Linked DNA regions of Caenorhabditis elegans. The protein of the gene in region 1 interacts with the protein of each later gene in a biochemical or structural test. Each region holds a gene or a part of one and is shown in the gene's direction. Other genes may lie near its edges.

Region 1 (7,290 bases):
CGGCTGATCCATCATTGGGACCGATTTTCCGTATTCCGGTTACTGTAATCAATCCTGAGAAGGTAGCGGTTGATCAATACACTTCTAGACTTGTTGGTAAATCGGGAGTCACCGAAAGACGATTTGTCGAAGTACCGTCGTGGGCAACCAGTGCAAGTAAGTAAAAAATGAAAATTAAAGAAAATTCTATTAATCTCATCATTTTACAGAGATAACACTCCGATCTACTAACAAAGACGAAATGGATAGATTTACACTTCATACGGTCTACATTGAGGATGATAAATGTTCCCGAAACACAGAAACTCAAAAAATACAGGGTCCAATTGGAAATGAATGGAGCAAGTCGATTACTGTTCAAGGTGGAAAGACTCTTGAAGCATGTGTTGTTCGTGCTTGGTCACGTGGAAAGAATCCTGTGGATGTTGACATGACCATCGACTTCTTTGGAGTCAAAAAGCCAACTTCTATTTCACTGATTCATGGAGCAACTAACACGCCCATTCGCTTCCAAGCTGCTCCAACGAAAAGTATCGACGTTTCTCCTTCGATTTCTCTAAAATCACTTGTTGTATCACTGAAACCACAATCTGCCAAAGTAGAACCATTGGGACCACGTGATATGTTCCTTACGTCTGGACTTCAAATCAATCGTCTTCTGTTGACTTATCAGCTTAAAGGTAACCTTTTTTAACTACATAATTATTAAAATATTATTTTTTCAGTTCAAAAACCAAGTGAAGTGCAACTTCAACTTGCTGGCCTTACTCCATATTTGTATGAATCTCCTGTGGACTGTGTACTCTTCCAAATTTTCGGAGCAAACAAGTCGTTTGTGGGTGCTTCTTCTTCGTACCCGGATCGTTGGACTCAGAAGCTTGAGAAAGGAGATTATACTATTCAGGCTCAGATTAGATATCCGGATGATCAAGTTTTGCAAGGAATGAAGGAACTTCCTCTGCTGTAAGTAATTCTTTAAATTCTAACTGAAATGATTTTTGTGTTTCAGTGTTCATGTGAAACTTGGAAACAAAATTTCTGTTGACCTCGCAGCTTCTGCCAGCGATGCAACACTTGGAAAAGAGTGCAAATTTGCTGGAAAAGCCCTTCTTCCAAATCAAGAAATGACCGTCTACGCTATGAATATCGCTGATGATAAATTGCCAAAGACTATCGTACCAACAAGTGGAAGTTTCCTTGCTGGAACATTTAGTGCTCTCAAGGATTCTGATTTGAGTGATGTAGACAAATCTGAAGTTATTTACTTTCTCAGTGAGTACTCTACTCGTCCTACGAAAGGATTGTCAATGGTTACAACAAAGAAAGATACGAATCAAAATCAGGAAATGACTGGTAGATAATAATTAAAAATTGTATCTTTTATTAAATTCATATTTACAGACGCCATTCGCGATTTGGAAGTATCATGGGTGCAAAAATTGACAGACGAAAAGGCAGCGAAAGAATTTTTCGAAGCTTGTCTGCAGAAGTATCCAGATCATCTCCCACTACTTCAGAATCGAGTAAAGCAATTGATGCAAGCAAAACTTGTGGATCAAACACCGGAAAACGTGCAGAAGATTATTGAATTATGTGGTCAAATTTTGCAAATCACAAAACCGAATGAAACTCTTCAGTTCTCATCCGTCAAGCAAGAACATGATGATGATCTCCTTACTGTTGACAAATGGCTGGCACTAACCGGAGGCAGTGAGGACCAGCGAAAGGATGTGGTGAAGTTGATTTCACAATTTGAGGAACGGAAGAAAAGTATTATTCTCGCTTTGCAAGCTCTTTCATCATTGGAGCAGGATATTGAAGTTCGTAAGAGCAAGTTCGACGTTCCAGCAAGTCTTCGTTTCGGAGGAATCACTCCTCTAATTTTCGGTGGAAAGCAAGGAGAAGTGATCAATAAGAAGTCTGAAGGTTATGAAGCACTGAAATCAAAATCTGAACAAATTGATGCAACTGTCTCTGAAGAACTGAAAAAGTTGGATAGTAATTGGACTGGAAATCAGTTTTACGTCAAGCTTCTCGTTTGGTTGTCTGCTGATGATACTAAAACTGCACTGATCTCTGCCAAACATGCAGCTGCTCTTGGACAATTTGGAAGATGTGCAAAGCTTCTCAACAAAGCTGGAGATGAACTGAAGTCGTCTGCTACTGATTCGCAAGCTGTTGATACATCATTGGCTGAAGTCTGCGAAAGTCTCGAGTGGAATCATCTTGCTACTCACTTTAAAAATTCGGCTCTGATCAAAAACAGAACCTCCTACCGTCTTTTCTAATTAGTGTATCATAAGAAATTTCGCGGGTTTCTTTTTTCTGGAAGCTTTTTTGCTTCCATTTCCGTTGTGAATCAAATGATTTTCCCATTTGAATAGATAAACTTTTATTGTTTTATAAATGAGATCAAACAAAAATTTTGCAGAGATACATTAAAATTATTAAGAAGAAGAATGTTCGAGGTTGCGACGAATTGATGCATGGCATGTACTCACAGAAGTTCCACCCAGTCATGTGGGTGAGAATCTTCTGATATTGGCAGTATGATTTGACAGCACTATTTCCACATGATTTTCTCACTACTGCTCGCTCACATTGTGTGGTTCGTGATACGGAGCTCAAAATTAAAAACTAATCTCAATAAGTCTGAAACTATTAGACTCACTCGCAACTGCCAACTTCCAAAACGGAACATTCAGTATAAATCGTGTCAGAGAGATCATTCAAACTGATTGCTTGCATACATTCATAATATGCCACAACTGAAATATTTATAAAACAATGAACGAGAATGAAAAACCTCACAATCATTTCCATAATTACAATAGAATTCAAGAAACCCCGTTTGTGAGATGTAATAAGCTGCATTGCTTTCTGAACCAAAAATTGCATTGAAAGTGTTATAGTTGAGACAATCATTGATGACGTCACTATGACAGTGACGTAGAGTTGTATATGTACTGTAATTATTCGTCTTTTTTAAAAATATTTATTCTAGCATGTAAAACCGGTTCTATTGAAATTCTTCAATAATTTTACAATTTAAAAGGTGTTGCAATGTTGTAATACCTTCACATACCTACACATTCCAGTGGCATCGTACCGAATTTTCTTAAATGGATCTTCGTCTGCTGGGGGAAGGCTAGTCACATTTGAACCATATGATTGAAACATATCTATATAACATTGTTGTAGCACTTGATCTTGATCAGAACTGCAGTTATGCAGCACTCCTTCGTTTCCCGCTACGGTTTGCTTCACTAGACCTGCTAAATCAACTTCGAGTGTCTCTAGCGATTTAGTAACGATCGTAACCACAACAACGAGAATATTCCAAATCATCAAATATAGGGAAAGAAAATTTTGTGTTTCGAGCAATTTAAAGTGTTTAGTCTGAAACAGAATAGCTCGTAAAATGTCGTCACCGTCAGTCGACCGGTTTATAGCTTTTCGGGAGGTTGAAATGTGTTTATCAATTTGATATGTTACGGTCCCGGAATTTTCCAAAAATTTTTATTGTTTCTAGTAATCATTAGTAATCAAATTGATAATTATTTTAAATACACTTTTTAATTCTTGAAACATGTGATTAGAATCTCGCATTATTTGAAAATTTCAATTTGGTTACGGTAGACAATGACAAAGTACGCAAACACCAGAGTATGTGACACACTTTCGTCATTTGCGAATTCGATTTTAAATATTATTTTCATATTCCCATTCCTATTTTCTGTGAATTGATAATTTTTCTATGAGTAATCATTCTAATAAAATTATCAACTAATCGACATGGACCAATCAAAGATGCGCAGAACGAATCAGTTCAGAAAAGTAAGTTTTCAGTAACTTCTAAAGAAACAAATGGCCTAAGTTTTACAGACTTCCCAGAAGCCTCCTTCTACAGGGATTGACAGTTATCCGACTCCCGCACAATCACCAATGGCGCAGCATGAGACACCTATGTGGGACTTCAACTCTCTCAACCCGTATTTCTCAATGCTCAATATGAACGATGGGATTAATTATGCTCGCCATCAACAGAATCACATTGTTACATCGCGGCCACCAACCCCGCTAACTGATTTGATGAGCCTTCGGAGTTTTCAGAGCTTTGTAAGTTAGAGTAGGCAATTTTTGGTTGTTTTCATTACTGATTTGCAGCCCAATGTGTTCATGCCGGTCTCGCGTAGCCGAACTTCATCATTCATTCAGTCTGATACGGATTCCTCGCGTCTCGAGTCGGATGATTTTTCACAAAATGTCCGATGTTTCTCTGCGGATATTGATCGTAGCAAGAGCTATGGTTCTTCAAAACACTACCATTTGAAATATTCGAGGTTCGAATTAATTTATCACTATCCTCTAGTATTTATTCTTTTTTATTTATAGACCCGCTCTGTCGAGGAACTCTAGATCATTCACAAGATCAAACAATGTGCTGCCAACCTGGTCCTTGGATTCCAATGGTGAAATGCGTTCAAGATTGTCGCTCTCTGAAGTTTTGGATAGTGGCGATTTAATGAAGTTTGCCGTTGACAAAACTGGGTGCCAGTTCCTAGAAAAGGCAGTGAAGGGCAGCCTGACATCTTATCAGAAGTTCCAATTGTTTGAACAAGTTATTGGGAGAAAAGATGATTTCCTTGTAAGTTTTAGTTTCTGCGAGCACACATGACTTTTCTTTTCAGAAATTGAGCACGAACATCTTTGGAAATTATTTGGTACAAAGCGTTATTGGAATTTCATTGGCAACTAATGATGACGGATACACAAAGCGACAAGAAAAGTTGAAGAACTTCATCAGTTCCCAAATGACAGATATGTGCTTGGACAAATTTGCGTGTCGTGTTATCCAATCCAGTCTCCAGAACATGGATTTATCCCTTGCGTGTAAACTTGTTCAAGCTCTACCTCGTGATGCTCGTCTTATCGCAATCTGTGTTGATCAAAATGCCAATCACGTCATTCAGAAAGTCGTAGCAGTCATCCCACTGAAGAATTGGGAGTTTATTGTGGATTTCGTTGCCACCCCAGAGCACCTCCGTCAGATTTGTTCTGATAAGTATGGGTGCCGTGTTGTGCAAACTATTATCGAAAAGCTCACTGCTGATTCAATGAACGTTGATTTAACTTCCGCTGCTCAAAATCTTCGTGAACGAGCGCTCCAACGACTCATGACTTCTGTGACTAATCGGTGCCAAGAATTAGCTACGAACGAGTATGCCAATTACATAATACAGCATATTGTATCCAATGATGATCTGGCCGTTTATCGGGAATGTATCATAGAGAAATGCCTCATGTGAGTGTTATTGTTTAATATCTACTTGATTTTTAATCATCAATATTTCAGGCGCAACCTTCTTTCGTTGTCCCAGGAAAAGTTTGCTTCTCATGTTGTTGAGAAAGCATTCCTACATGCACCATTGGAACTTCTTGCCGAAATGATGGACGAGATTTTCGACGGATACATTCCACATCCGTAAAAACATTAGTTTCAGTCACATAAAAATGAAATGTTTTTTCAGGGACACGGGAAAAGATGCCCTCGATATCATGATGTTCCATCAATTCGGAAACTACGTCGTTCAATGCATGCTGACTATTTGCTGTGATGCTGTGTCTGGAAGACGGCAAACGAAAGAAGGAGGCTATGACCATGCAATCTCATTCCAGGATTGGCTGAAAAAGTTGCACTCGAGAGTTACGAAAGAAAGGCATCGCTTGTCAAGGTTATCACTATTGTCACAATAATATTTTGAAATTCGAAATTCAGGTTCTCATCCGGCAAAAAGATGATCGAGACGCTTGCCAATCTCCGTTCAACTCATCCGATTTATGAACTCCAATCTTCGGGACACGATTCATTCAAGACGGATTACTTCAGTACTGCTTCCGAGCACGATGGTCCGGAGTTGGAGAAGAATGGGATCGAGGAAGGAAGCCTGATGCTAGAGCCACGGAGCAATAAGTCTTCAGTCTCTGTCAAATTTTCTTCTTCCGGTAGTCACGGCGATGATTAAGGTGGAACTTTCTCACCATAAATCTCATCCCACCCACTTATGTTCTGTTGTTTTGTAATATTTTAAACTGGTGCAATGATTTCGTTTCGATTTTAAGATCGATGTTGTGCCTTCCCCACTCTTATCATTGCCCAGTTTTGTTTTTTCTTTTCTTTTTTGTTATTTTATTGCTTTTTATGCAGTTGTGTTATTGTTTCTTTCTGTTTACTGTTCATTGTTTTTGTTAATTTTTTATTTTCGATTTTAATGAATCCAGATAAAATTAGACAACTTGGCAAAATATCGTTCGAGTCTTTGTCATGCTTCCACCGAGAGCTTCCTGCTTCCATACAATGCCTGCTCAGAAAACAATTTTGAAAGCGAAGAGAAAAGTTGTTCTTTGCTCGGAGAACAAAAAACTGATAACCGACAAATGTTGACTTTGTAAATTTAATCAAATTAGAAACCATGAAGAATAAATATAGTTCAATTATCATATTGAAATTTATCTTACAATTGCATCGATTTCAAAATAATGGGACTCTCAGAAAATAGAAAAACAAAAATTGGATACTGGGGATGAGGAAGAACTCCGCGAACATTGGCGGTCCTTCTCTCATGTGGTCCTCGTATAGGTGGTGGCAATCCTCTCATTGTTATCCAACATCGAGAAAATGTTCTTCGGCTAGAACTCTGAAACAAAAATACTTTCAAATTAAAATTGTCAAGATAAATTCGTACTTCCTGACACAATTTGTGTTGTTGCAGCGTTGAATTCGATTCCAAACCAAGTGGCAAGACCAAGACCCAGCAATGATGATGGAATAGTTGAATTGACAGAATTCCTCGAGCATATCAGCAATGGATGTTGATGCAAGTGGATGCAATGTTCTTCTTTTGTTTCTCATCAACGTTTGCCTTATGATTGTGAAGTGACTTGATGAACTCTCTCTGCCATGCTTAAAGAACTTGTTCAGCAGCAATTTCGTTCCATGCATCAATGTCTAATCCAGCCTTCATAGAGTTTCTTCCAGGCTTCTGCTTGAATCTCAAGAAAACATAGGCGGGGCTTGCAACGAGAAAAACTGATTGAAGAGCATCATCTCCTGATAGTTTTCCTCCCTTCTTGGCACGTCTTGGATCTCCTAGTATCATATCTTCAAGCCAATTAAGAACGTTAGATGCGAAACCAGAACATCCACTGTGTATACATATTCATCACTTCGGACCATTTGTCTTTGTTATCTTTCAACCATTCGAAAACAGACTTCCGGTATTATTTATA
Region 2 (5,444 bases), on another chromosome or scaffold:
AATATCATTGACTTTTCCAGCCTCTCACGCGGATTTCGCTCTCGCATTCAAAATCTTCGATGTAGATGGGAACGGTGCGCTGGATAAAGAAGAATTCACAAAAGTTCAACAGCTTATTATGTCCCAAACAACTGTAGGACAGCGTCATCGAGATCATATAACGCCAAACCAGTCGTTCCGTGTCGAGACAAACTCCGCTCTCGAAACATATTTCTTTGGAAAAGACGGAAAGGGGAGCTTGTCGTCTGAAAAATTTATCGAGTTTCAAGAGCGTCTACAACACGACATTTTAAAGATGGAATTTGAACGGAGAGATGCACTGGATAACCCGGATGGACTTATCAACGAAGATAGTTTTGCTCAACTTCTCCTTCTTCATGCTCAAATTAATGAGAAGAAACAGAAGCATATGTTGAAGCGGGTTAAACGAAGATTTAAAGGAGAAAATTTGAAAGGAATCAGTTTTGGAGAGACGAAAGCATTTTTCGAGTTTTTGTATCACATTGACGATGTAGATATTGCTCTACACTTTCATAAAATGGCTGGAATGTCGATAGATGCGAAGCTACTTCAACGAGTTGCGGTCAAAGTGACTGGAATACCTCTATCGGATCACGTTGTGGATGTGGTGATTACTTTGTTCGATGACAATTTGGATGGAAAATTATCACATGAAGAAATGGTTGCTGTGATGAGGAGAAGAATGCGTAGAGGTTTAGAGCGACCAAGAGATACTGGACTTTTCCGTTTGTTTGATGCAGTTCTGGAATGTGGAAAACGAGCTTATCACGCCAGTCCTCTTCCATTTTATTAGTGGTGCCCATGGCCACTGTAAATACTTGTTTATAAATAAAGCTTTTCATTCTTTTTAACAAATTATATTTGTTATGTTCATAAAAAGTGTTCGTTTCACTTTTCTTATCTTAATTTCATTTTTTTATTCTTTATTTCTTTCTCCACATTTTAAAACACATTTTTCAGGAAAATCATGTCGTTGGCTTTGAGAAAGACTTTGGGCGTCGCTCGCTTTTCCATGAGAACCGCCAGCTTCCAGGCTGTTCCAACCAACGCCGGAAAGACCCCACCAACCCTCGAACAATTCGATCCACTGAACCCAGGAGAGTGGCAACTCGGAGCCGGAGGAAAGATCCTTCCACGTCTGCCAGAGGGAACCAAATGCGGAAACCTTGTCATGGGAAAGTACGGACTCTACGATCCAATCCTCAAGAAAAGAGTTGATACCTACGCCAATGCTCTTCTCGAAGGAAAGAAGTCCGAAGAGGCTGGACCATTCGATGTCGCTGTCAGCAAGATCGCCAAGGTCCTTTCCTACATCTGCTTTGTCATCGCCATCTACAACCTCATCTCGTTGGTCAACGGAACTCCACTTCCACCACTTAGCCACGTCAAGGCTCCAGGATCCTAAATAATTTCCACTCGATTGCATTATCTCTTTTTTGTAGGAAGTTTTATGTTCTGTAAAACTTATGTCAATGTGAATCAATAAAATTCCCGTTTAGCTTGTTTTTCCACCAGTGAATCCAGGAATATTTTCAAAATTTCCAAATCATTATCTGGCTTGAAACAAAAAAACCGATTTCGAAACCAAATTTCGAAATAATTTTCAGAAATGGCATTGAACGCACCAAGCGGGAGCTGTAGCTCGAAGGTGCTTTTGCATCCTTTGGTTATTATGCAAATGTCCGAACACTACTCCAGAACAAAGGTCCAACAGGGTCCTACTGTGAAAAAAGTGTTCGGAGCAATTCTCGGACGGCAGAATGGACGACAAGTCGAGGCGATCAATTCATTTGTTCTGAAAATGGAGACAGAAGAAATGGCTGAGCCGGTTACTTTTAGCACGGAGCATCTCCTTCAAAGAGCAGATCAATGTCAGTTTTACTCTGTTCTTGCTCATTTTAGTTTTTTTTCCCCAAATTTCAGATCTGGAAGTGTTTCCCGAGCTCCAAGTTATCGGTCTTTATTGTGCTGGGGAGGATGATAATCTGACTCCCGAAGAGAAACCTCTTCTCTCAAAACTCACCAATGCGGTTCGCAATTCAGAGAAAGCCGGACAAATCGACGCGACACTTTTCCTTAAACTCAACTCTATCACTGCTGGAACCACTCGTAAACTTCCACTTTTCGCGTTTGAAGCAGACGTGACTGATCAGGAGAAGCATAAGCCAATTGAATGGATTTTAGTGTCGGAAGAAAGTGAACGTGTCGGTGTTAATCATATCGCTAAGTTATCAACGAAACATGGAAAAGACGGGAAATCAGTTGGAAAGAAACACGCGGAGGCTCAAGATGCAGCAATGAGCATGCTTCAGAATCGGGTTGATGTGCGTTCGAGAAATTGGAGGCCAGAAAAAGACAAAATTTCATAATGAGACTTCTGAAAATGCTGTTTAGCGGTTCAAAAATTTTAAAATAATACCTAAAATTCGCTAAAATGCATATTTCGATCTTATCTCGCATTAATTCGTTGATTTAAGACACATTTTCAGTCGATTGACACCTAATTTTGGAAAAAATGTTTGAAAAAAGTACCTCCATTTACTAGTAATTGCGAGCTAAACGACTAAAATATGTAACAACAGCTGCTGCGACATGAAAAGTTTGCGAAATTTCAGAATTTAGACAGTTTTGGCTCTTATTTTTTTTTGAAATTTTGACATACTTAAAAAGTTTATTAATATTATTTTGAGAAATCTCGTTATGAAAATCAATACAGCAGCAAACTAAAGTGGAATAGTCGAAATAGTTTTACTGCTTTATTAGACTCACAATTGACTGAAAACACCGAATTTCATAATGAAACTTCTTGAAAACGTCTCAAAAAAAAGTTATGACGGCTCAAAAAATAGCCTAAATGTAGTTAAAATTTGAAATTTGACCGACTTGTCAAGCGGCTGGAAACTAATTTTTTGAAATCTCCATCTAATTTTGAGTATAAAATTTAAATATCTTGCGTTTTCAACTTCATTTATGTATTTTAAAGCCGATGGACGGCGATATTTTTAATTTTTTTTTTACGAAATCTCGCCGTCCATCGACTTTAAAGTACCCAAATCGAGTTAAAAACGCAAGATAATGACATTGTATGCTCAAAATTTGACGGTGCTTTCAAAAAAAAAAATTGTTTCCAGCCGCTGCAACATTGCAAGACGGTCAAATTTCAAATTTTAACTAATTTTAGGCCATTTTTTGAGCCGTCATAACTTTTTATTGAGAAATTTTCAAGAAGTTTCATTATGAAATTCGGTGTTTTCAGACAATTTTGAGTCTAATAAAGCAATAAAACAATTTCGACTACTCCGCCTTTAATTTTTTTTACAAAAAAATAATTTTCAGCTAATCGTTGCCTATCTCGAAAAAGTGCAAGACGGAACACTTCAACCGAATTTTGAAATTTTGAAGGAAGCTAACTTGCTTGCTCAAAAGCTCAAAACCATTGATCGATATGCTGCTGAGTTCACTGATAGTTTCGAAAAGGAAGAGAAAACAATGACCGTATTCTCTCTGATGCCAAGATTGACAACTCTTCTCGGAAATATGCAAAATGTGTGGAACAAGTTGTCAGCTCAAAGAGCCGATCTTCTCGCCGACGATGGATTCCATGGAAAATCGACAAGCCGTTGGGCTCATCCGGTTCGATTCAAATCACAACATCTCGGTCGTCCGCAGCAGGCAGATGTAAGTTAATGCATTTAGAATATTTCTAAATCCTTTAGGAATGTTTGTTCCAGGATGACGATTATTTTGATGATGAAGATTTGGAGAACGATATGAGTGGACCACGGAGAAAAATTCATGCTGCTGATTCTCCAGCTGGATCGAGAAGACGACGTGTTCCGCCAAGAGGTAGATTTGGAAATTCTGAATTATTATGAAGACGCAGAAAAATTCACCTTCTTGGGGAAATTTTTTGAAAGCGGATTTTTCAGAAGTTTTGACATCAGATACGAGGTTTAACATTTTTTATCAACTATTAAAATTTAATTAAAAAGCACAAAAAAAAAAGACAAAAAATACCTGAAGGAAAATTCTAAATTTACGATTTAGCCGATTCAATTGGTCGTGGAACGATTTTTTTTTCAAAAATAAGCATTTTTGTGCGTCCTCATTTCAAAATCTTCTGGAAAACATTAAAAATGTTGATTTCAGCAATGAACTTCCTCGGTCGGAATTCTGGTATGCAAGCCGCCACGGACGAAATGGAATTGTCAGGTCAAGAGGAAAATATGGGAAGCAACTATATTCCAGACGTTCCAAGACCATCTGCAACAGCACACAACGAGTCGGACGAGTCGAGTCAAGCTTCATAAATATCCTTTTTTTGTTAAAAATTCACTGTAAAAATGCCACTTTTTCTTATTTATTTCATTGTTTCTCAAATTTTTACACCACTTTACGTGTTTTTCATCCCCATTTATCTGAAATATAATGTCTGATCTCCGATTCTCGATATTAAAAAAAGGTTAAACGTTCCTTATATCAATAGAATCCAGTTTAGTTTAGACTATAGTGATTTTTTCTACAGCACTAAATGCTTCGAAGTGTGATATTACGGCATAGTCGAACGATAAGCCGGAATAGCTGGGTGGCTAGAGCATTTCGAAGCGAGAAGGTCGACAAAGAAACGGTTTTTTTTTTCAAGAAAATGGATTTTTTTAAATTTAAAACTTCAGGGATTATTTGGAAATAAAAACTTGAAAACCGCAGAAAGTTTCAATGAATTACCGGCGGCAGTTAAAAAATCAACTGATGCTCTTATTCAGGTATTTAGGAGAGCTCTGAAATCCAATTGAAATCCTGTAAAATTCAAATTTTCAGGAGCTTCTAACCCCATCGCAGAATCCCAGAACTTCTATTCAAATTGTCGATGATATTTCGAATGAGATTTGCAAATCGGCGGATCTTGTAAGCTTCGCTTCGAAAAAAGTTCCCAAATTCAGAAGAACCACAAAAAAAAACGCGATTTTTGAGGCACCACGTTTTCAATATCTAGTCGGAAACAATGTCTACGAAAGCAAGATCTACAGTTTGGAGTTCTACGAAAACGAGAGCTACGCTATCAGGATCTGGCACCATGCCAACTGCGGTTTTCACAGTTTTCTCGAAGAAAATCGAAACAACGATGCTCCGATATCACGCATCGCGCGTTGTTTATCGTTTTCCAAAAGTTTTTATTTCAAAAAAAGCTTTTCTGAACGATAAACAACGCGAGCCGTGTAATATCGGAGCATCGTTTTTTCGATTTTCTTCGAGAAAACTGTGAAAACCGCAGTTGGCATGGTGCCAGATCCTGAAAACGTAGATCTTCGTTTCGTAGATCTTATTTTCGTAGATCTTGTTTCCGACTAGATCTTGAAAACGTGGTGTCTCACAAAAGGAGAGCAAATGGAAAAACAGAAGAAAAAAAACTTCAAAAAATGCGA

The links. Proteins that work in one complex are often made in the same cells at the same time.
Region 2: the proteins of fbf-2 (region 1) and csn-6 form a complex in vitro, tested with the Caenorhabditis elegans proteins (one study listed by BioGRID).

Annotation. Positions count from the first base shown.
Region 1 is NC_003280.10:6,087,878-6,095,167, reverse strand, and holds fbf-2 (Fem-3 mRNA-binding factor 2), read left to right. Parts: upstream 1-3,687; 5' UTR 3,688-3,795; coding exon 3,796-3,837; intron 3,838-3,885; coding exon 3,886-4,119; intron 4,120-4,167; coding exon 4,168-4,343; intron 4,344-4,395; coding exon 4,396-4,648; intron 4,649-4,691; coding exon 4,692-5,305; intron 5,306-5,356; coding exon 5,357-5,485; intron 5,486-5,531; coding exon 5,532-5,735; intron 5,736-5,779; coding exon 5,780-6,026; 3' UTR 6,027-6,305; downstream 6,306-7,290. Other genes in the region: tpp-2 (Tripeptidyl-peptidase 2), read left to right, coding at 1-156, 210-680, 726-963, 1,010-1,353, 1,402-2,288; nspg-3 (DUF19 domain-containing protein), read right to left, coding at 2,413-2,623, 2,672-2,768, 2,812-2,966, 3,086-3,348. UniProt on the Caenorhabditis elegans protein: RNA-binding protein that binds to the consensus sequence 5'-UGUGCCAUA-3' in mRNA 3'-UTRs. Involved in the control of stem cells and sex determination in the C.elegans hermaphrodite germline.
Region 2 is NC_003282.8:13,299,200-13,304,643, forward strand, and holds csn-6 (COP9 signalosome complex subunit 6), read left to right. Parts: upstream 1-1,624; 5' UTR 1,625-1,630; coding exon 1,631-1,892; intron 1,893-1,944; coding exon 1,945-2,345; intron 2,346-3,357; coding exon 3,358-3,699; intron 3,700-3,737; coding exon 3,738-3,867; intron 3,868-4,170; coding exon 4,171-4,331; 3' UTR 4,332-4,502; downstream 4,503-5,444. Other genes in the region: micu-1 (Calcium uptake protein 1 homolog, mitochondrial), read left to right, coding at 21-814; kdp-1 (KASH (Klarsicht/ANC-1/Syne Homology) Domain Protein), read left to right, coding at 989-1,426; Y67H2A.7 (Peptidase M3A/M3B catalytic domain-containing protein), read left to right, coding at 4,553-4,648, 4,695-4,784, 4,840-4,926. UniProt on the Caenorhabditis elegans protein: Component of the COP9 signalosome complex (CSN), a complex involved in various cellular and developmental processes.